2 linked regions of the Lonchura striata genome follow. The protein of the gene in region 1 interacts with the protein of each later gene in a biochemical or structural test. Links are inferred from orthologs where the notes say so. Each region holds a gene or a part of one and is shown in the gene's direction. Other genes may lie near its edges.

Region 1 (11,690 bases):
CACTCAGGAAGAAATGTTGAGCACACTGAGACAAAACTAACTTGAAAAAGTAAGAACACGCCAGCCATGGTTTTTAGTCTTCATCCCTACCCTGGCTACCATCAGTTTTATGCAGTATTAGTTGCTGTGCTGCAGAAATATAGCCTAAATCTCCATGTTTGCTGCCATAAAAAAAAATATAAAAGCAGCACATTAAGTGTTCTAATGTTGCTTCAGTAGACTTAGGTTCAGTACCATCAGAAGTATCATCTGAAATACAGAAATGATCCACAGCAGAGTTTCAGACAGATCAATGCCATTACCTAACAACCACAGACACCAGCCTTGCACAGCTGTACAGGGCTGAAAGAAAGCAAATAGATTTTTGTGACTCCTTTACAAAGAAAGATTAGCTGGATGAGTCTCAAGTGTCACTGTGTTCAGAGCTGCTCTATAAATCACATCCACAAAGCTCATTATCAGAGCATAAAAAGCACTGTATTTTTCCATCACTGCTTTTCCATTACTTGGTTTATAGTCCTGAATTTAAGGAAGCAATTGAAATTCCTCAAAACTCTCCAAGAAATACACTTTAAATGCATTAAATATTCATGTGCTTGCATGAAAGAAAGGCAAAAGGGACACCCACAACCCACAACAATATACAGAAGTGCTAAGTAAAGCCTGGTTTCCACAGGCAAGTTGAAGCTCTTTCAGAAAAAGTCAGGGTGTTTATTTTCCTGCATGCTGATCTATCCATGTTGATTTGAATCCCATTGTTGATTTGAATCCTTGATTTAGAAAAAGACCTGTTATGAACTGTAAAAAAGGTGTAGTGTGTTTGATACAGTCACCTGAAAATGGAACCAGAAAAGGTTAATATATGACAGCAGCAGCAGTTTTCAGGGTATTCTTCTTCGACAGCACACAGGAGCAAGCAACCCAGCACAGCCATCACTGTTTATTTTGATCAGCAGGCAGGATCTGAGTGCTTTTAAAATGTACTCTGTACTTCAAGAGGAAGACATGCCTTAGGAAGAGTTACCTGCTTGGGAATGTCAACCAGAGAAGAAGCAGCAAGCAGAGTAAAGGTGTGCAGGGTGACAATGACCATCTTGGTGGAGGGGTAGGATGTCACCAGCTGCTGCAGCAGCTGCCGGGAGCTGGAGGCCAGGCTGGCATCGTGGTGCATGTGCTGCAGAATAGGGATCAACTTCAGCTTCAAGTCCACAGGTGTGGCCAAACCTCAATAAGGAGAGAAACACAGCCAGAGTTAGTCCTTGGGCTGGCTTTTTTTTGGCAGCTCTGAGGCACAGAGTACATCTGGCTTGCTACCACTGCTGAAAGGAGATTGTGCAAACACCTGCAGTGGCTTCAAATAACTCATGTTCTAGCTAGGTGTGAAATGACAGCACTATCAAGCACTTCCATGGTTGTTTGGGAAAGCTGCTTCTTGCTTCACTGCAGGTAACACGCAAATTAACTAATCTGAAACAACCTATGAGAGTCTATGCAAATTTATCCATCACACTACAGATGGGCTTTTATTCTGTACCAAACAGGTGCTTTGAAAACTTAAATTTTAGGAGGATTTAAGATAACCAGACAGACTATTGGTCAGCTAATTTAAAAACTGGAATAATCTAAGGGCAACAGCATTCTGTAAATATAATAAATATAATCTAATATGTAAATATGAATAATGAAGAATTTTCAGAGAAATTAAAGTTTTTCCTCTTTATCATTCAACATACACACGTACCTTGAATCATCTCGCTGATTTTATTACATATTCCAACAGCAAAATCCCTGCAGAGAAAAGAAAGTACCAGGTGAAATGAAAAACAAAAAATTAAGTAATTAAAAACTGAAAAAAAAAAAATTGACTGAACTACCAAACACAATTAAAAGTTACACAAAAGAGTACCTGCCAAAACCTAAGTCTTTTCAGAACCCCTGCACACAGGCATGACCAAATGAGAAAATGAAGGCATTCAAAAACTAATAAGCAGCACTACATTTTGCTAATGTAATTTCTGTAAAATAATTCTATGAGATTGAGAATTAGAATAGCAGATTTAATCATGATTGAGAGCTTTCCATTTTAGGGAAAAAAAAATCTGCTGAACTTGCATTCAGATTTCCTTACATCATTATTGCACATAATTGTTTTCTATAAAGGACAGCACAACAGAAAATAGTAAGGTTTGTGAATGCCAGTGTTAATGGAGCTTCCATTCTCTGTAATGTGAAAAAGTAAAAAAAAAAACAGTTCTTACTTAGACTGTGCAGAAAAGTTGGCAGCAGCAAATATTGCAGCTTCAACTTCCACATTATCATGGGAATCCAAACTCTGGCGAATACTGTGATGTGCATTCTTCCTTTCTGGAATGATAGTTGCCATGCTGCCCAACATCCTACAGAAATAAATCACAGCAGAATCAGGAAGAACAGTGATCGTGAAGAAATAATGAAACCAAATAAAATGTAAAAAATACTGGTTAAAAGTCTATGTTTATATAAATATGTGCTCTTTCATGACTATTACAGAAACAAGCAATTACTAAAATTAAGCATCTAATTAAATGTAACAGATTTTGTTGTGTGGGTTGTGTCAGCGGTTTGATACAATTTAATTACATTTTGATACCTTTTAGCTTGAAATTGGCACAGTGAAAAACCTAACAAAAATTCTTTTAAAATTAAGAGCATATAGCATGATTTATTTCCAACATCTTTCACTGATGTAAGATAAGGTAATTAATGAAAAAAGTGCAACACTTTTTGTATAACTGCTAAAAAAGCAGCAAATCAACCTATACTTTGCTAAAAATATTTCAAAGAGAGCTTACAGGCATATTTAGCACAATCCAATTAAAAGAATAATAAATGTAGGATTTATATTGATGGTAATTTTAGCTAGAGTTCTGTGCAAATATTTACAGTTATCTAGCAATAAAATTCCACAGACAAAGTTTTGTTTAAGCAGCTCCTTCTTTCAACATGCTCTTCCTTATTGACACTATTCAAGGAGGCCCAAAAAATAAATCAACAAAAGATTTTAAACTGAAACTGCTGAACCGACAGCTACTTTAACATTTTATTTGATGCATCCTGTGAATTCAGTAATTAAAGTACTTATGCAAACTGAGAGGATTCCTGGGACTTGTAGCAGCCTGTGAAGATAACCCTCAATGCCAGTCAACAACTGCAATCTTATATTAGAGCACTGAAGAGGAACTACAAAAAACCATGCAGACATATTGTATTTACAGATTTCTGAGACACCAGGGCATGAAAGCATAACCTCAAATGAAATACTGAAAGAAAAAAGAAATGGACACTTGACCTCATCAATCAAAGCTCTGTTAATGATTCCCCATCTCCCAGCAGTAACAGTTCCAGATGGAGGCACAAAAAGAATATAAAGAAAGAAAGTGCTCTCTTCACATTTGAATTCACCTGCACAGGGGCTGGAAAATGCAGTTAAAAGGATCATGTTGGATAGTATTAGAGACACAGTCACCAAACCAGCAGGACAGTGACATGAAAGACAGATTAATTTTGTTTTCCCATTTGATTCCCAGAAGTTCAAAGCAATCAGTAATATAACAGCATTTCCTTAGAAGTTATTGATCAGAGATCATCTAGCAGTTCTAGCTAGGACAAGGCAGAATGAATAGCATAGTGCAAGCATAACAAGGTTCATGTAAGTTTTGGTTGCAAGTTAACAAAAACTATTTTGACACAAAAGGAAGCACTTTCACTTGGTCTAAAAGTATCCTAGCAAGATGAGATATATCACATATAGCTCCTGTCTGGGTTATGCATACAACAGATTCAGTTTTCTTCTCTGGTGTACATAAAATTTCAACACTGCAAATTATGTTTTGCCTGGGACCATCCACAAAATTCTTACCATCATAAATGGTTAATAACCTTGTTCTACTTATTCACAAAATTCTTACCATCACAAGTGGTTACTACCTTGTCCTTGTTATTACCAATCCTTATCATTCATGCCTTTGAAAGACAGATGTTTCTGCTTTTAACTCTATGAGCAATGTATAAAAAGCCTCCTTTATTTAACTCACAAAATCACAGAACGGCCTGGGTTGGAAGGGACCTTAAAGACCATCTAGTTCCAAACTCCTTGACATAGGCAGGGACATCTTCCACTTGACCAGGTTGCTGAAAGCCCCATCCAACCTGGCTTTGAACAGTTTCATGGATGAAGCATCCATGAATGCCTCCAACTTCTCTGGGCAACCTGTTCCAGTGCCTCACCACACTCAAAATAAAGAATTTTTTCTCAGTATCTTATCTAAACCTACTTTCTTTCAGTTTGAAGCCATTTTTCCCCTTGTCCTATCACTAAAGGCTCTCCATCGTTCTTGTAGGCTCCCTTCAGGTACTGGAAGGCCACAATTAGGTCACCCCAAAGTCTTCTCTTCTCCAGGCTGAACAATCCCAATTCTCTCAGCATTTCCTCACAAGAGAGGTGCTCCATCCCTTTAACCACCTCGGTTGCCTCCTCTGGACTCCCTCCAACAGGTTCATGTCCTTCCTGTGCTGGAGGCCCCAGAGCTGGACACAGAACTGCAGGAGGGGTCTCAGCAGAGGGGAGCAGAGAGGCAGAATCCCCTTCCTTGGCCTTTGGCTGCCCAGGCTCTTTCTGATGTAGCCCAAAACACATTTGGCTGTCTGGGCTGCCAGTGAACATTGCTGGGTCATGTCCAGCTTTTCATCCACTAGCACCCCTAAGTCCTTCTAGGCAGGGCTGCTCTTGGTCTGTTCATCCCCAGTCTGGACTGACACCAGGGATTGCCGTGGCCCAGATGCAATGCCTTGCATTTGGTCTTGTTATTCCAGACAGGCACATTGATAGACCTACAGGTTTGAAGTAAATCAGAATCATTCACCAGATTTGAAGTAAGTCAGATCACTCATGCCATACATACCGCAGTGTGATAGCCCGAGCAACCGGATCATTGCTATGGATTACTGAGAAAACTCTCTTGACAAATTCATCCACATTTAGGATCTTCTCTAAGTGCTTCTCACTCTGCTGAGTAACTTTCAGCACACACAGCCTCAGGAAGTTGTTCCTGTTAGAAAACACATACGTTTCCTTGTCAGGCTATTTTGAAACAAAAATTCAAGTACTTTAAATACTAAAATTATTTAACTACAACTTTTGGAGCAAATTAAAACAAGGAGATATCAATGCTTTAGAAACATTTGCGTAGACTGATAGAGTAAAACAGATACTATTAACATACTATTGCTTTATTTTCTAGTTCAGGTAGTGTCAAATTAAAGCCCAGTTCCAGGGCAATGAACTTGCTGACACCAGTGAGGAGGGGTGTAAGGATGCCTGTTTTGTGCACACACAGGGATCCAGATCTGCTGGAAAAACACATTCAAGACTAAGACAGAGAAGTCTTAATTACCACTGTCAAGTGCTGAGCAAATTTATTTTCCTTCCTGAAGGCAAGAGTGAAGATTCCGCAGCATCAGAATACACCTTTGTAAGCTTTTAAGAAGGAGTTTTGATTACATTATGTACATCACTCAGACACCAGGCACTTGGAAAAGCTATACTTTGTGAGCTTTGTTAGATTAAAATTGGCACATGTGATCATCCATCCATTTATGAGTTATGATTTGAATGTGCTTATGGAGCAAAACTTACACCAGTGAACTTAACCCAGTCAGAGAGAGAATCCTCAAATCAGGACAGATGGAAAGGAACTGTGTCATCACTCACAGCCACTCAAGCCCACTAAAGAAGGGGAAAACAAGTTCCAATCAAGCACAGCCGCAACAGACCGGGTACCAGAACGGTGCTGGCAGGCAAGCAGGCCATGCCAGATCCCAGCGCAGCCACACTCCAAGGCACAGTGCGTTCCCACGGAGCAGGCTCGAGCGGGCAGTACTCACCCCACTCTGAAAACATCGGCTAGCTTCAGGAACGCCGAGTTGATGAGGATGGGGAACGGGTATTTCTGGAAGAGCCTCGGAAAACGAACGACGGCTTCGCACTGCTCCCCGAGCTTGCCGGACCTGAGGCCTAGAGGAGACAGCAGGAATCACCGCACAGCCCCGGCTCCTTCCTCCGCCCCCGCCCTGCACAAAGCGCTGCCAAGCGGAGCCCCCGCCCCAGCCCCGCTGCCCGGGGCGGCGACAACGCCGAGCCCGCGCGGGCCCACCCTTGTCCAGCTCCATGAGGGCGGAGTTGGCGTCCAGCTCCTGCTCGCCATAGCCCGCGTCGGCCAGGAAGGACTTGGCGCTGGCCGCCATGGCTGCCGCTCGCCGCCGGTCCGCGCACGCGCAGCCGCGCGCCCGGCCCCGCCCGCCCGGCGCGGCCGCGGGAGCCGGCGGCGGGCGCGGCCCGCCCACCCCCGTGCTGCCCAATCAGAGGAGGCGGGCGAGGCGCGGCGCGCTCGCCGCTGACCAATGAGGGCTCGCGGCGCGCTTGGCGGGCCGGTGGTTTGGCGGGAGCTGGCTCGGCCGTGTCCCCGTGGCCATGCTGTGCCGCGCGCTGCTCCGCCGGGCCGCCGCCGCGCCCGCCCGTGAGTACCGCGCCTCCCCGCCGGTCCCGCGCCTCCCGTCCGGTACCGCTCCTTCCCGTCCGGTCCCGCGCCTTCCCGTCCGGTCCCGCGCCTCCCCGTCCGGTCCCGCGCCTCCCCGTCCGGTCCCGCGCCTCCCCGTCCGGTCCCGCGCCTCCCCGCCGGTCCCGCGCCTTCCCGTCCGGTCCCGCGCCTTCCCGTCCGGTCCCGCGCCTCCCCGCCGGTCCCGCGCCTCCCCGCCGGTCCCGCGCCTCCCCGCCGGTCCCGCGCCTCCCCGCCGGTCCCGCGCCTTCCCGCACGCCCTCCCTTCCCCATCCATCCCCGGCCGCCCGCACAGCCGCGGCGGCCGCCTTGCGGCTCGTGGCGCCCGAGCCTGTGGGGTCTGAGGCGCTTACGGTCCGTCTGTCCCGTTGTAGGTCGGTCCTCAGCGCTTCCCCTGCAGCATCTCTTGGACAGCTACCAGTGCAGCCGAGAAGATGACCACCTGTCGTACGGGGGAACGGGAATGCCAGTCCCTCCTTTCGGCTGCACCTTTTCTACAGGTAAATTCACCTCCTGAATGATCTTTTGAGGGGCCAGGGTATAGGTTCTGTTTCAGCAGTTTCTTGTTTTAAAGTGAGCTTGCTCCTGCAGCCTGCTTGCTCCTACACGTGATAAACTTTGGATCGTGGTGCACCTAGATACTGATGGAAAGTATTCCCTCAAAGAAGCAACTATAAAGCATTTATTTTAGTGTCTCTTTGTTTCATCTGTGTGTGTGCTTCAAGGCATGTCCTCTTGGAGATAGTGTGAGGCTACATAGGCGAAAAACTAGGCTTTATTCAAAATATCTAAAAACTATAATAGGGTGGAGAACATTAGGTAGAAATCAGAGGTGGATGGATGTCACCAGGAGTTACACACAGCATTTCCCCATGATGGGGGAAAGGAGTAAGCAATGGAGCTCCTGGATCTTTAGGGCAAAACTTCTTCATTCATTGTACTCTAGTTTTGGCATGAGATTTTACATTTCTCTAAGGTGGCCTCCTTCTTTTCCAAGTCAGATCATGGAAAATGCTGGAGGCTGTAGATGATAGGTACTCTAGAGATAGGAAACTGTAACTAGAAAACTGCTATAGCTGGTGGAAGAGGTATTATCTCAAAAGTTGTTTCTGGAGTCATTTGATTGCCCATGTATAGTCATTTTAGAACGGCACATCTAGAAAAAATGCTTGCTAGTATTTCTGTATTTTTACAGTTAGGTTGCTATGTAAATGCTGTTTATTTCACAGCTTTATGTTTGCTGCATTCCCTATTTAAAACATCTGTGGCTTTCACAAAGAGCAAGGGTAGGATTTTGTATTAGCTACATAATATAATACGCTTCAATTTCTTTTCAGCCCCAAATTTGGAGCACATCCTGGCAGTTGCAAATGAAGAAGGGTTTGTTAGACTGTATGATACTGAAGCACAGACCACCAGCAAGCTCATCTTTAAAGGTAAATGTATAGAAGGTGATCTTCATTTGATGTGACAAGTGTGGGACTTGCTGGAATCAAAGAGAGCTTTTTGCAAGTCCTTAAAACGTAAATTTTAGGCAGTACTTTATTCCTTCTGCATAGCAGCAACACAATGTGCTCTTACTGCAGTAGTAGATGAATTGTTCTGTATTGTCTTTCATGCCTAAGGCAAACTGTTGACAAGATTTCTGATTTCATGACAATCCAGATGTCATTTGCAAAATACCATGCTGCGATGCACTGAACTAATCTTGGCTTTTGTTTTCTTGTTAGAATGGCAGGCTCACTCAAATGCTGTGTTTGACCTTGCCTGGGTGCCAGGAGAACACAGGATTGTAAGTAGTCTTTTGCCATCTCTTTTTTTTAATGCCTTGGCACCTCTGTACAGAAAATGACTTAAGCTTTTTATTTTTCCCTCTGAAGGTCACTGCTTCAGGAGATCAGACAGCCAAGGTGTGGGATGTGAGAGCTGGCGAGCTTCTTGGCATATGCAAAGGTCACCAGTGTAGCCTCAAGTCAGTTGCTTTTTCTAGATTTGAGAAAGGTAAATGTTGGTATTCCCTGTTGTCTGTTTTTTCCTTCTTTACCCCCGGCAAAGTACTTTTAAGGGCTGAAAAAAGGCTTTGGAAACTGACGGGTACCAATAGCACAGGCCTGAGCAGTGACCCAGCCAGGAAAGCAAAACTGTCTAGTTAGAACTCGATGGTGTCCTTATGCTAAAATCAGCACATTGCTGATCTTGGGCAAAGATAGGATATCTGCTTCCATACCCAAGCGTGTGAATATACTTTCCATGAGCTGGTTTCTCTAGTGGGAGTAAGAAAAGGATAGTAAGGGAAAGATAGCAAGTCAAAAAGCATGGAAAAACAATGGCCTGAGTTTTATATTTCCAGGACTGGCATCACAAGTGTTGGGACAGAAGAGCCAGAGGTACATAGGTGCATTGTACTGCATTCAGTTAATTAAATGAATGCTTTTAGAAGGTAATAACACTTTTTTTTCTTGCAGCTGTTTTCTGTACTGGAGGGAGAGATGGAAACATCATGGTTTGGGATACCAGGTGCAACAAGAAAGGTAAATAAACTTTCAAATATGTATCAACAAAGCTTGGTATCTCGTGTAAAAGGACTGCTCAGATGGACTTGTTGGACTGATACTTTTAATTACAATGTAGGCAGCAGAGGCTTCTCAGATAACTTTACTGCTTTAGGTGCTGTAAGAGAATGGAATAGGTATCTCTGTTATATATGTATAAGACATTTCTCTACTTTGCAGCAGTTGATGATGTGCAGCATCAAACCACAGGCTGGTTTGAGAATTCCATGTGTGTAGGTAAAGACATGAGGCTGTATAGAATACATCCCTGCTAGGGCAGTGCAAAGCAGATGAGATAGGAGAGATTGCTTAGGTCAGAGCCATCCAGAGGGGTGAGGAAAAGCTGGAAAGGCTCCTGCCAGAGTAGAAAGGAAGGCAGAAAATGTAAGAAAAAGGAGCTTGTGAGTGCTGGTAGCAACTGAATATATTGTGGGAGCACCTACTATAAATATGTGAGCTCATTCTGCTCCTCTGTTTCCTGGAGCTTTTCCTTCTCCAGCCCCTTCCCCTTATGCCATTTCCCAGTTCCCTGCTCTGCCACACCAGTTTCTTTGCCTGAACATGTCTTGCTCTTCCATCTGTCCCAGGTTCCTTGGCTTTTCAAGCAGGCAAGTGAATGAAAAGTTGACTGACTCCACATGATTGAAGTGGAAGGTGTAGGAAAAAAAAAAGTAGAACAGTCGCCTTACTCTAGTAAGGCAGTACATTTCTAAAGGTAATAGACAAAAGGCTGAACAGGAAATTATAAAATAGAGCACTGGAAATCTTCCAGTGAGTGCAGTTCTGCTTGGGATGAGTGGGTAGAACACTCAGACCGGGATGCATGTGAAAAACAGATAAAGGGGTAATAATTTCCAAAGGCAGTCTGCCTAGATCAGTTTTAGTTTCAATGTTCATGCTACACTGACCTCTGCAGTTTTTTGCACTGTGTTTTTCTCACTGGTTTTGTATATAAGTAATTTTTGTTTTCAGGATGCATGTATGATTTTAAAGGTTAACCTAAGTTACCTTTTAGGTCTAATCCCAAACTGATGCCTGTTTTATTAAAGTGATAGCAAAATTGCATATAAACTACTAATTGAGATGTCTTTGATTTCTTTCAGATGGCTTTTACAGGCAGGTAAATCAAATCAGTGGAGCACACAATGTGGCTGAGAAGCAGACTCCTTCCAAACTGAAGAAGAGGAGGCAGAACCTGAGAGGACTTGCTCCCTTGGTGGTGGGTATCTGGGCAACAAACAAAATGTTCCTTCTGGGGACAGTGGTATTCACAGAATTCTTCCTAAGTAAATGTAGTGAGAAATATGTGGCTTGTATGTGGTAAATGCTTCCATTTACCTTTGCAGAGATAGAGTTTTTTGTCATGGTCATTCACAATGGCTAATTTTAGACATTGTTTAGTTGCCTAACAGCCCACATGCCATAAAAGCCAGCTTTGGGCAAATGCTATGTGAAAATACAGGGGGGATTTTTTTCCCTCCCCAGGGAGGAAAAGAGTGGCTAGCATTCCCATTTTGAGGAGAGAGATAGGGAGAGTTGTAATTTTCTTTTTTTACCCCCTTAATTTGACCAGATAAATTACTGCCTTACTGGAGGAAGACCTGATAATTTTTCATCTATTAAACTTCGAGATGAAGGCAGCTCTCTTATCTGTGAGCTGAAAGGTGTAATCTCAAACTGCTGCCCAAACACTTATCTCTCAGTGGCAATTTCTCTGGTGGGAGTGTTCAAAGCATTGTTGTGTCCTAAATGACATCTGCTGTTTCTATGTTCTGCTGCCTGGCTAGGAGGAGGTTTTCACTGCGTTCACACGGCCTTGAACTAAGCAGCAAGATCTTGCTGACCTTAAAAGAAAATAAAATTCTTTTTTCCTCTCTTTTTAAGGATTTCCAGCAGAGTGTAACTGTGGTGCTGTTTCAGGATGAGCATACTCTTATCTCTGCAGGAGCTGTTGATGGGTAAGGAGGGAGGATGCCTGCTTTCCTGTCCATTCTGTGTGCTCAGTGGCATAAAAAGATTGGGAGATTTTCTCTCTAAGACCACTCAGTGGCCAAGAAGGCTAGAGCTACTGCGAAGTGGAATCAGTAGCTATGCTGCCAGCTTGCACTGGCTTTACTTCCTTACTGGAGATTGCAGTACTGGACAAGCTGTGATATGTGGTAAATGCTCATTTTAATCTTAGCTATGGGGCAGAATGAGAGCAAGTCTTCCCTCTCTCTTTTCTCACAGACCTATGAGACCACACATAGACAGACTATTGTTAGACAGCCTTATGGATGTGAGTGGGTGGTCAGAGCCTGGACATGTGTAGGCATGTTTGAGAAAATGTTGCTTTGAGTTACAAAAGATGCATTCTCTTAGGTGCCAGATCTCTTGGAGGGATCAAGCATCTTGGAGCTTGAGCAAACTCTTATTGATCAGCATGGAAATTATCCTCTTGGACTCAATTCTTTAGCAGGTTCCATGTGGTCAGAGCCTTTCTGAGGCAGATAAGATTGACTGTCCTACCTATGGTTCATGACAGAGACTTGCTGCCAAAGAGCAA
Region 2 (10,797 bases), on another chromosome or scaffold:
TTTTGTTCCCAGACCTTCACCTCTTTAAAGATCCCTCCAACAGCACCGCAATCCGGGGGAAGGGCGGGAGGGCTCCGTCTCACGGCGGCTTTCGGAGCCGCTCCGGCACCATAAATCAAACACTCCCCCCATCCCCCCCGGCCTCGTTTCTCCATTTCAAACCTCAACAATCGGCGGCCGCGGAAAGAGCGCACAAAGGCGCGGGCCGGGCCGGCCCGGGGGGCTCTGCCCGCGCAGGGCTGCGGCGGGGGGGAGCGGCTCAACCCAGCGCCGCGCCCGCCCCCGGTAGAGAAGCGCTCCGCCAGAACCGGGGGGCCCCGCCGCCCGCCCCCGCACGCCCCCGGGCACCAAGTTCGCGGGACAACCGGGGCTCCGCCGGGGCGGCGGCGGCGCCCGGCCCGCCCGCCGCGCCGCCCCCGGCCCACCGGGACCCCTGCGGGGGCGGCCGCGCAGCCTTCCGGGGCTGAGGGACCGAGGGAGACGCGGAGCCGCTCCCAGCACAACGGGTCCTCCCCGGACACCCCCGCGCCGCCGCCGCGGGCCCCGGTGAGGAGCTGAGGGGAAGAAACCCCCGGGGCGGCCCCACAATGCGGAGAAGCGGCCAGAGGCGGCCAAAGAGGCGCGGCGCCAGGCAAAAGAACAGCGCGGGACTTACTCTCCGTCGCACTCGATGCTCCCGCGGGCTCCTGGAAGTCTCCGCCGCCGGCCCCGCCGCCCGCCGCTTTCTAACTCACGGCCGCCATCTTTGCCCTCCCTCCCCTCACAGGGGAGGGGGGGGGGCCGGAGGAGGGGGCCGCCCGCACCACGTGACCCGGGCCGCGCCTCCCTCCCCCCGCCGCGCCGCGCGCGCTCCCCGCCCACGTGACCCCGCCAGCCACCGCCCGCCGCTGGCGCGCGCTCGGCACCACGTGACCCGCCCCCCCCGCCCCGCGGGCTCCCCGGTCACGTGGCCGCCGCCGCCGTCTCGCGCCCACCCCCCCCCCCATTCCCGTCGCCGGGCCCTGGCGCGCGTTCCCCGTTCGCCCCCCCATCACGTGGCATGCCGCGCCTCGGTTTCTCTCCGCTCTCAGCAACGGGGAGGTAGCAAGTTCCCCCTTCTCTCCCCCACCCCAGAAAAAAAAAAAAAAACAAAAAAACCCGGCGTATCCACCGTCCTTCAAATAAGCGACGTCCCCGCGGGCGGGCCCCGCCCCAAAGCGGCGGCCGCACTCGAGCCTTGGCGATCCGGGCCCGGTTCCCGGTAGGGTGGGGGGAGGGGAAGGCGGAGGCGAACGGCAGCGAGCGGTCACGTGACCTAGGGCTCCCGCAAGATGGCGGCTGCCGGCGAGAACCCGGCAGCGCGGCGGAGCTCTCGCGAGACCTCGCGTTTCTCGCTGCATCACGGGGAGGGGCGGGGGGGGGGGGGAGGCGCCGTGCGCGCGCCCCCGCCTGAGGCGGCGTTGGCGGGACCGGGCCGGGCTCGGTGTGAGCGTGAGGGGAAACGGGGAACGGCGAAACGGTGTTCTCTGAGCTCATCCCCGCCCCTGCTCCCGCCGGTGAATGCCTCTCACTTCAGCCGGCCCCCTGGTCCCGTCCCTCCGCGGTTGGCGGCTCCGAGCAGCCCGGTGCGGCCGGTGCCTCCCCGCCCTGAGGCGCCGCCACCTCCGCCCCCTCACGGCGCCGCGGCCCTGCGGAGCTCCTGCACCGGATCTCCCCCGGCAGAACGCGGGAGGATTTCCCTGCTGCCCTCCCTGGGAATGCCCAGGGGATGTGATGAGTTTTCCCTTGCGAATGTTTTACAAGCTGCTAATGTGAAACTTGCTGCTGCAAAGAGTGAGTTAAAATCTGGAGACCACTCGTGCTAGTTTCACATTTGGAGACATTTTTTTTAGCGCTGGAGGCCCCCCAGACTGAGAAGACTTGTTAAAAGAGACAATCTTCCAATAAAATGCTTTCCCAGTTGTGTAAACCATGAACATTTGTGAGAACTTTCACACAGAATTGAGGCAGACAGATGAAGTGTAAGCAATTCAAATGTGCAGTGCTACTTATTCAATCTTGTGCAAGTTTACTTATCATTAGACAAATCTAACAGAGATTAATATACCCAATAAAGGATTAGACAGATTAAGGGTAAACTATTTAAAGACAAAGCAACGTTAATTAAAATGATTTAAGTAATTCAGATTAATCAGTGATGCTTCAAACGGAGAAAAAGATGACAGAAGTGAGGCCAGAGACCTGAAGAACAATTGAAATGGCAGCTTTTATCTTGATTATTGCCCTCTGCACACTTCAGATGATGAAGTACAGCTCACACGTGCTGAACCGAACTTTAAATCTCAGCAGCTCTGTACAAACGTGACAAGGAAGGGAGGGTTTTGATGTCTTGAGTTGAAAAGGGAGTTACCTGTCAGCGTTTGTGATCATCCTCGACTGCAATAGGTGAGTAATCCCGCTGGTGGAAATGCTGCTTTCCATTGGCGTGGAATTAGCACAGGCACATTTGTCTGCAGGACTCTGTTTCCATAGAATTTTGGCATGTAATTCACGGATCTCGCTGCACTTTCTAGTCAGAGATTTTTTTTTTTTTTTAATCATTGGTAGATACAATTCTGAATGTAATTATATTTTATAATCTATGAAATGCAGTTAGCACCTACTGGCATTTTACTCTGTGACTTTATAAAATGATGTTGCTTAATGTAACACTCAGCAGTTACCCTCAGGGATTATTTTTACTTGATTTCTAGTGGCTGAAGCACAAATTGTAGGGATTTCATCTTGTGAACGAGAAATTTGTGTAAATGCTGTCATTTATTTTGCAAATTGCAAATATGACAGGTGCTGTGTGAGAACTTGCTCTCAGGTGGCAATATTTAACAAGCATCTCCTTGGTATATTGGACAGAAAATGAGACTACTAATTCAAAGATAAAATAAGAATTTTTTTTTAACCTGGATGAAGTGTTCATCTAGACCGAAGAGATTTACCTTGACGATTTTCTACCCTTTCTGAGCAAATCAACGCCTCGCTCGCTCTTCCTTCCCTTCCCCCACAAAACAATTTCACATTTCCGCAGTAAAACGTGGTGCTCTCGGGAGCTGCTCATGCGGCACTACGGGAGAGAATATTTAGGTCACTGGGTTTTAGCGCTGCTCCCTCTGGATTACGGGAGTCGGCAGCGCTCCCTGCATGTGCCGCGTGTCCCGAGTCACAGTGACGGGCGGCTCCAGCCACGCTCTCCTGGGCTGGAGCCTTCAGCATTTCAACTTCTGCTCATCTCTGGCTTCTGGCCGCAGCCAGCTGAGGGGCAAAGCCAACATGTTTTGCTAATTCACAGCGTGATCCCACCGCGCCGGGAGCAGCGGCCAGTTAGAGATGACGTTGTTTTCTTTGTTGCTCTGGGGAAGAGAATTCCTTGGCTTCCTTTGCCCTCTACTGGTGGCCCGCACGGCTTCGATGCCAACTCGGTGCCTTTGCTTAACATACATATGTAAAATCATAATTTAAAACACACAACCCCCAACAGCTGAGCAAAACTACAGTTGAGGCCGTTTCCAGAGCTTTCCCAAGACATTAGGAAGAGTGCTCCCTATTACTGTAAGAAGGAAATCATCTTAGTAGTTTATGAAGATCTTTTTTTTGCCAGTTACATCCCTGCTGTGCAATAAGTACAGTGCAAACTGGGGTGGAAAAATCAGAGCAGTGTCTGCTCTGGTGCTTGTGCAGAGAGTTTGGAGTACCTGCCTTGGTGGAAGAACACCATGGACGTGGATGTTCATGGACGTGATGCCCAGAGAATGTCAGCTGGCTGCAGCTTTGAGTTTACAGGGGAATTCCCAGTGAGTTTTGGTTGCCTCTCTGTAAAATTCATTTGCCTGGTGATCGAAGACCCAGATGTACCAAATGACAGTGCCCATGAAGAGCTGGGTTTGTTCTGTCTTCTCCCAAAGTGCCTGAATGCAGAACTGTCACAGGAAAAGTAGGGAGTGGGCTGGAATGCTGTGCTGCCTTCTGAGACTCCTCTGCAGTCACACTGAATTCCTGCCCTCTGAGCTCCCAGCTGCTGTGGGACAGCTTGGAAAGGACGAGGCCCCAAGTTCTTACTTAAGATGAGAAGGGTTTTTTTCCTGTTCTTAAGGGAAAGGATGGCTTTCAGCTGTACCACAGACTGGCTGTTTATGTCACTGTGGGAATGCCAGCGACAAGCAGCAGCCTGTGGCTACAGATAAGCCTGGGGTGGGAAGCCACCCCTGTGGCGATAGCGCTCGGGCCAGCACAAGCACCACAGCCCCAGCTCCTGAGCACACACACTCTGTAGGCCTCGATGCAGGAGGGGTGGCACAGATAGGAAACAGGAGTCCTGCACCATTGCTCAATAGAAGCGTTCTGCTTGTCGTGGAGCATTGAAGTCCTGTGTGGCAATTTCCTGATTTCCATGATGGCATCCACGTGGCATCCATCCAGATCCCCTGAGCCACGTGTGCTTTGCCTCATTGCTGTGTTACTCTTTGCCATTGTACTTTCTTGATTTCAAAGTGCATGTACTAGTCCTGTTGGAAGCTTCTGACAAGGAAGTCGATGCTGAAGGCAGTTCCAGCTCTCCTGGTGATAATGATGGCTGTCATTTGCCTTTGTAATATTTTAGCTGCCCTCGTTATGGATTGGAGATTTACATAAGGTCTTTGACACTTCAGTGCAATGCTGGAGAATTACCTGCTCTCCAGGCAAGCTTGGAAGATAGAACTAATAGACTTAAACTTCAGCCAGGGAGATCTAAACCAAACATTGTGTAATGCAGCCTAATAATTTCGCAGAGCAGAGTTTTACAATCCCGCCAGGATTAGGGGTACCCCGAATCCCTGCTGCGAGGTGGCGTGGGCCGGTGCGGAGCGGACGGGGGGTACCACGGTGCCCCCGCGCTCCGCGGGCTCGCACGGCCCCGCTCGCGCCCCGCGCGCTCCCACCACGTGGCGCGGCCCGGCCGCGGAGGGGCATTCCCTGCCGGGCCGCCAATCAGAGCGCCGCCTGCTCTCGGCACGGACCAATCAGCGCCCAGCGAACACACATTTAAACCCTGCTCCCGGGAGCCGCAGCCACCGCGGTGTGACAGGGGGAGGGCGGGCCATGGCCGCTCGCGCCAATCAGAGGCCTGAGCGCGATGATTGGCAGGCGGTTAAACCAATGGGGTTGCCGAGGGTAACGCGGCGTCTCCCTGCGGAGCGGTTGGCGGCGGCGGGGACTCCGCGGGGACAGCCGGGGCCGCCCGGCGCGGGGGCTCCGAGGCGCGCGGCCGCCGCCGCCGCCGCCATGGCCGGAGGTGCGCGGGGCGGAGCAGGCAGGAGCGGAGCGGGGCCGGGACGCGGCGGGGCCGGCGGGGCTGGGCCCGCGCGGCGCGGGGCATCTCCGCGGCGCGGAAGCTCCTCCTGGGAGGTGCGGGGAGCCGGGGCCGGCGGGACTCCTCCCCCGCGCGGTGTGCGCAGCTCGCCGGGAAGGGGCTGGGCCGCCGCGGCTCGCCCTGCCGCATCCAGCCCTTTAAACATGGCGCAGGCCGGGGCGGCCGGGCGATGACCGCGGGCGGCAGCGCCGGACATGGCTCAGCCGCCGACCTTCCCCCGTTGCTCCTAGGGAAGAACATGCCCAAGACCAGGGCGGGCGGCGTGGAGAAGGCAAGCCCCGAGAGCGCCGAGAGGAAGGGCCCTAGCCGCCCCCGGGCCGGCGGGGTAAGCAGTGCCCGGGCCTGGGCGGGCGGAGCGGGGCGGGCGGCTCCCGGGGTCTGCCGTGCCCTCCGCTTCCCCCCGGGGCGGGCGAGCCGGCGTGCGGGCTGCCCCGGGGAGCCGCGGGGCCCGGGCCTTCGGGACCCCCTCAAATCCGCCAGAAATCGGTTAACTTTAAGTACGGTCGGACTCTTTCCGTGTTTTCCTGTGCCCTACCGCAGACAGGCACTAGGCTCGACATTCCCTCCGTGCCATCTTCCCCGTCTTGTAGTTCTGTCACAGGCAGCTGGCCGGACGCTGCTTGTCTCTTTGCCTTTTACTCCCAGTGGGAATAATTGTGGCTGTTGCATTAAATCCTGGAGCCCCTCTCTAGCCTTCCGTGTGTTTCGCTGTGCTGAGAAAATCTCTGCTCCCCGGGGTCTCAAGCCTGGCACAGACAAAGACGTGGCAGCGGCATCTCGGTTGCGCCAAGAGCGCAGCAGGAAGGGAGCTGGGAATGAAGGGAGGAAGCAATGCTGGAAAAATAGTTGTTCCTTTCCCGTTCATGGTGTATTCAAAGCCTGAAGGCTCAGCTGGCAGGTGGACTGCAGCTCACTGCTTTGGGCTTTCTCCCAAAATGCCCGTATTTAAACTTCTTACTAAATCTTGAGGACTTTGAAGCTCAGGGTTCATTGCTTGTATTTGTTAAAATTGAGTGTTTTCATAGTATTTCATGCTTGGAAGCTCCGGTTTTTTAATAAGGAAGTTTTGCCTTTCATAGGCCTTTCAGAAATATTAGAGGTCAGGGAGTGTCTGTCCTGTTTGCTTTTTCTCAGGATGTTCCATCGTAATCTCAGTCTTTAGTCGTTTATATTTGGACTAAGATTTGAGCTTTTAACTAGTCTAATTTTGTGTGAATTATGTACATAGGAAGTTTGTTATTCATTACCACGTTAATTATTAAAATTATCCTATCTGTTCTATTGTGTACTTTGTTTACTTTTTCATTGTCTGTGTCTGAAATACTGAGGTATTTGTTTAGTCAGCAATATTTGAGCTTTTTTTGACTACTGGGACCCTTTGTTCCTTGCTTTTCTAAGAAAATGGATGCATATTTTTGTTGTTTTAACTGGCATGCAATGTCTGAAAATTGCTTTTGGTTGAGTCAAATTATAGCCAAGAAAAACTCATTCTGCCCAAGTTGCATCTGTTTGTCCAGACTCTGAGATTTCACGGTTGGAATGTGCCTGCCATACTCTGCACAGGCAATCATAGCCAGGTGGCAGGAGGCTGTGAAAGCAAAGGTGACAGGACTCCACTAATCTTTGCTAAATTTGACACTGCTCACTGTTGGCATCTTGGAGCCTGAGCCAGCAAACAAACCCCAGGCTCTGTGGTGTCTGGCCATACCAGAGGGTTTTGCCATTTTGCCATTTTCCTGACTGGGCTTTGCACAGATCCTTTAAGGGCCCTTTTTTTTTTGCCATAAACAACCTTTACACTTTATTTTTATGTCATATAATGGATAAAATATAGCACTGTTTATCTCCTATGCTTTGCTGAGAGGTGTCACTCAAGGTAGGCTGTAAAACTGATTTCTGTGCTGCTCAGTTGAGCATATAATTTGCTGCAACAACATTTGATACCTCCTGAGAGTAGCTGGGTAGATCATACCGCTCTGGCTGTGAGAGCTCTCTACTGGGCCTGGGCAATTTTTGCTGCACTATTCATATTTTTTTTGGCATGTGCTCTTTGAGGCTGCCTTCCTCCCCAGGAGCTCCCACTTGGGTTTTTTTTCACACCAAAGTTCATACTGTGAAGCACAAGGGTGGAGGCTGGAGTTAGCTATGACTACTCCATCCTGCCACATTTTATTATTTAAGTTCTCAGCACTCTGTTTTCACTTAGAAATCAAAACCTCAGTGAGTGTGATGCTTCAAACAGTATAATTTGCATCAGCACAATCACCTGTCAGCCCTGGTTGCTGCAGACGGTTGTGGATGCCAGCTTGAGGTTCCTGAACTCTCTGTGCTGAACTGATTTTTTTGTGTGGGTCTGTTTTAGGAGAATGTGTTTATTGGTCAATCCAAAATCTACAGCTACCTGAATCCCAACAAACCTGGTGCTCGCCCCCCGCTTCAAGAAGAAAACTCTGTCATGTATCACGAGGTGAAATGTCAGGGCAAAACACTAAAGGAAACCTACAGGAAAGGAGCTGGTAAGATTAAGCTTTGGATTGCTTATCTTGGTGAAGGTGCTCCCACTGCCCCAATTCTAATATTTTCATCAAGAAATACAAGCAGTGAGGATGAGCCCAAACTGGATGCCGAGTGGCAGGCTTCACAGTGACTAGAAATGGGAGTGTTCTGTAAGTTTACCAAGGGGAAGAAAACCCATCTGGCTTGTGTTTAAAGGTGCATTTAACAGCCTTGGTAATTTGTCAAAGTACTTTGATGCAAACAATTTTACAATCAGGCATTTTCAGTCCCATTTGACACAAGGAGTGTCAGGCTTTCTGGAAACTTGGGGCCTTTAGTTCCTAATTTGGCACCCCCAGCTTTGGCAAGGAGGTAAAGATGGCTTTAGTTTGTCCCACTGCTGAGGCCTTGCAGCTGTGCTTCTTTTCTCCAGTGAGACTGAAGCATCTGTCTCAGCAGATGGGACTGTTAAACCTGATGGTTTACTCTACATAAAAACGTTGATGAGCTTTAAACCACTCTCGCCTACCTCTGAGTCAGTTATCTGAGGAGGAGGATGTGGTTGTATTGGGGTAGGATGCAAAAAAACAAGTAAATGTTGGTTGTTGTGGGGAGTGCGGATTTCTTGTCAGTGCCAGCCCTTTAGCTCCCATGGATTTACCCTGGGTGGCACTGGCCTCTTGGTACCAACATCTGCAGCTGCTGAGCCCAGCAGTGCAGGGTCATTGTTCTCCTTTTTCTCTCATTTGACAGAACTCTAAACCACTGGAATTCATTTAAAGCACTCAGGTATAGTTGGTCCTAAGTTCAGAGCCTTACTCGATTTCCTTGTCACCAGGAAAAAAGAAAGGTGGCAAAATAATTGAAGGTGCTGTGAAACCAGATGACCAGAAGGACAAGGAAGGTGGGTGCAATCCTTCGGTGCCCTCTGATCAAAACCAAGAAACTGTGGAAACCCAAAAGACTCCCTTGCCTGCAGACTGTGCTGAGGAGGCCAATGCAAAGCCAGCTCAGAAGAAGATGGTTAAAGCAAAACGAGGACCAAGGAAAAAGTAAGTGACTTCTGGAATTGTGAAAGGATGGCTCTTTGTTTTCTCAAGAATATCATGCTTTAAAAACCCTAAAATAGCATCCAAGTACCTACTTTGCAGAGGACTTGTTTGTCTTGTGAAAGCAAGGTTAATGTGTTCTATTGTTCTATCACAAGTTAAATGTTTGCTGGTTACCTATGGAAGAAAATAATGAGCCATTAAGACCTACTTTCCTGTGGACAAATGGGAATGTGTCTTGTCAGAAACAGAACAGTTGGAGGCTTCCTGGCTGAGCTGATACCCTTTCTCTTGGTATCAGAGTAATATGACCTAACATTAATTAATTCCTTGCCAAGCAGTTTTCATGACCTAAATTTTCGAGTGCCTTCTGGCAAGGCACGCAGGGGGCCCCAGACTTGTAATGTGACCTTCAGTTGATTTCCAACGACATCTCACTTGTATTGTTCAAGAATTAGTACTGGAGTAATGGAAATAGTGTGGGGAAGAAAAGGGGATGTAGCTGTGGCTTGAAACTAAGAGTACTGATAAAAAACACTGATTCATATTGATCACCTTTCAACTTACCAAGCTCAAATAAAAATTTATCGCACATACCTTTGCTCTAGTGCTTTAACTTAACAAATAGTCTGAAATATGTGTGTGTGTTCTCTTTTTCTTCCCCCTTAGAACACAAGGAAGAACACCAAACAGAAAAGTGACGGATTATTACCCAGTTAGAAGAAGTTCCAGGAAGAGCAAATCTGAATTGGAGGTAGTGTTTCTTGTTAAAATGACATTACTTATAACATGTCTGACTAGCTGAAAATCTAACATGTGTAACTATGGTTTCCATTCAAAATGCAAATAAAGTTGTGCACTTGAAGTATTGTTAAGAACATGCTTAAGCTTTGGAAATGCTGGTCCAGTTTAGAGCAGAATCTAGCTGTTTATGTATTTTGAGGGCAGAAATCTTTCTGCTGTTCAGTTTGCTGGAAATATGAGATGGTTTGGAACAATGAGTGTCATTGGTGGGTAATTTCCTTCCAGCTCTAGAAGAAGCTACAAAAGCTATCAACAACATTATGGTTTTGTTTGTTCTTGTTTATTCTGCAGACTGAGGAAAGGAGGAAAATAGATGAGCTGATTACAAGTGGGAAAGAAGAAGGAATGAAGGTAACTGCAGTGCCAACCAAAGTAGTCATGTACTTTTTATTACAGAGTATCTTGATGTTAATCTATTTAAACAAAGAGTAGCAGAACTCAGTCTCAGGACCCTGCAATCTCTGATGAAAATGCAGGAGAACTGGAACACAGTCCTTCCTTTTGAGTGAGCAATGTCCTTTTGAGTGGAGGATATGTGTGTGCTGCAGCCTCACTTATAAATCTGAGGGGGCTTTAAGGTCTTCACAGAAATGCACTCCTGAGTTCTTTCATTGGAAGACTTTGTGTCCAGCTACCCAGTAACTCAGTGTGTCACAAATTCATCCTGCATTCCACTGTGCCATACATTGTGCTTCTACAGCTTTGTCTGCAGTACACACAAATTCCCTTTTGCAGCAGCTTTTTAATGACAAAGCATTTCCTAGTAATCAGCATATCTGCAATGATGTTAAGCAGCTGGGAAGTGAGAGAGTATTTTCTTTTCAACTCAACAGATTGATTACATTGATGGAAAAGGGAGAGGAGTAATTGCTACTAAACATTTTAATCGAGGAGAATTTGTGGTTGAATATCATGGGGATCTCATTGAGATCACTGATGCCAAGAAACGAGAGGCAGTATATGCTCAAGACCCATCCACAGGCTGCTACATGTACTATTTCCAGTACCTCAGCAAAACCTACTGGTAAGCTCAAGTTGCTATTGATAGAGGCTTTGAATGCTTCTAAT

Evidence for each region.
Region 2: the proteins of DTL (region 1) and KMT5A form a complex in vitro, tested with the Homo sapiens proteins (2 studies listed by BioGRID, with this or other methods). The link is inferred for Lonchura striata from reciprocal best matches to the Homo sapiens genes DTL and KMT5A.

The regions. Positions count from the first base shown.
Region 1 is NC_134605.1:12,059,268-12,070,957, reverse strand, and holds the start of DTL (denticleless protein homolog), read left to right. Parts: upstream 1-6,508; coding exon 6,509-6,554; intron 6,555-6,967; coding exon 6,968-7,093; intron 7,094-7,930; coding exon 7,931-8,029; intron 8,030-8,323; coding exon 8,324-8,385; intron 8,386-8,473; coding exon 8,474-8,594; intron 8,595-9,058; coding exon 9,059-9,124; intron 9,125-10,248; coding exon 10,249-10,364; intron 10,365-11,029; coding exon 11,030-11,103; intron 11,104-11,690. Other genes in the region: INTS7 (integrator complex subunit 7), read right to left, coding at 1,025-1,224, 1,742-1,788, 2,259-2,396, 4,941-5,087, 5,923-6,052, 6,192-6,282. UniProt on the Homo sapiens protein: Substrate-specific adapter of a DCX (DDB1-CUL4-X-box) E3 ubiquitin-protein ligase complex required for cell cycle control, DNA damage response and translesion DNA synthesis.
Region 2 is NC_134620.1:13,053,404-13,064,200, forward strand, and holds the start of KMT5A (N-lysine methyltransferase KMT5A), read left to right. Parts: upstream 1-5,469; 5' UTR 5,470-5,549; coding exon 5,550-5,705; intron 5,706-7,742; coding exon 7,743-7,896; intron 7,897-8,714; coding exon 8,715-8,928; intron 8,929-9,594; coding exon 9,595-9,679; intron 9,680-9,987; exon of another isoform or gene 9,988-10,020; coding exon 10,021-10,080; exon of another isoform or gene 10,081-10,562; coding exon 10,563-10,753; exon of another isoform or gene 10,754-10,797. UniProt on the Homo sapiens protein: Protein-lysine N-methyltransferase that monomethylates both histones and non-histone proteins. Specifically monomethylates 'Lys-20' of histone H4 (H4K20me1).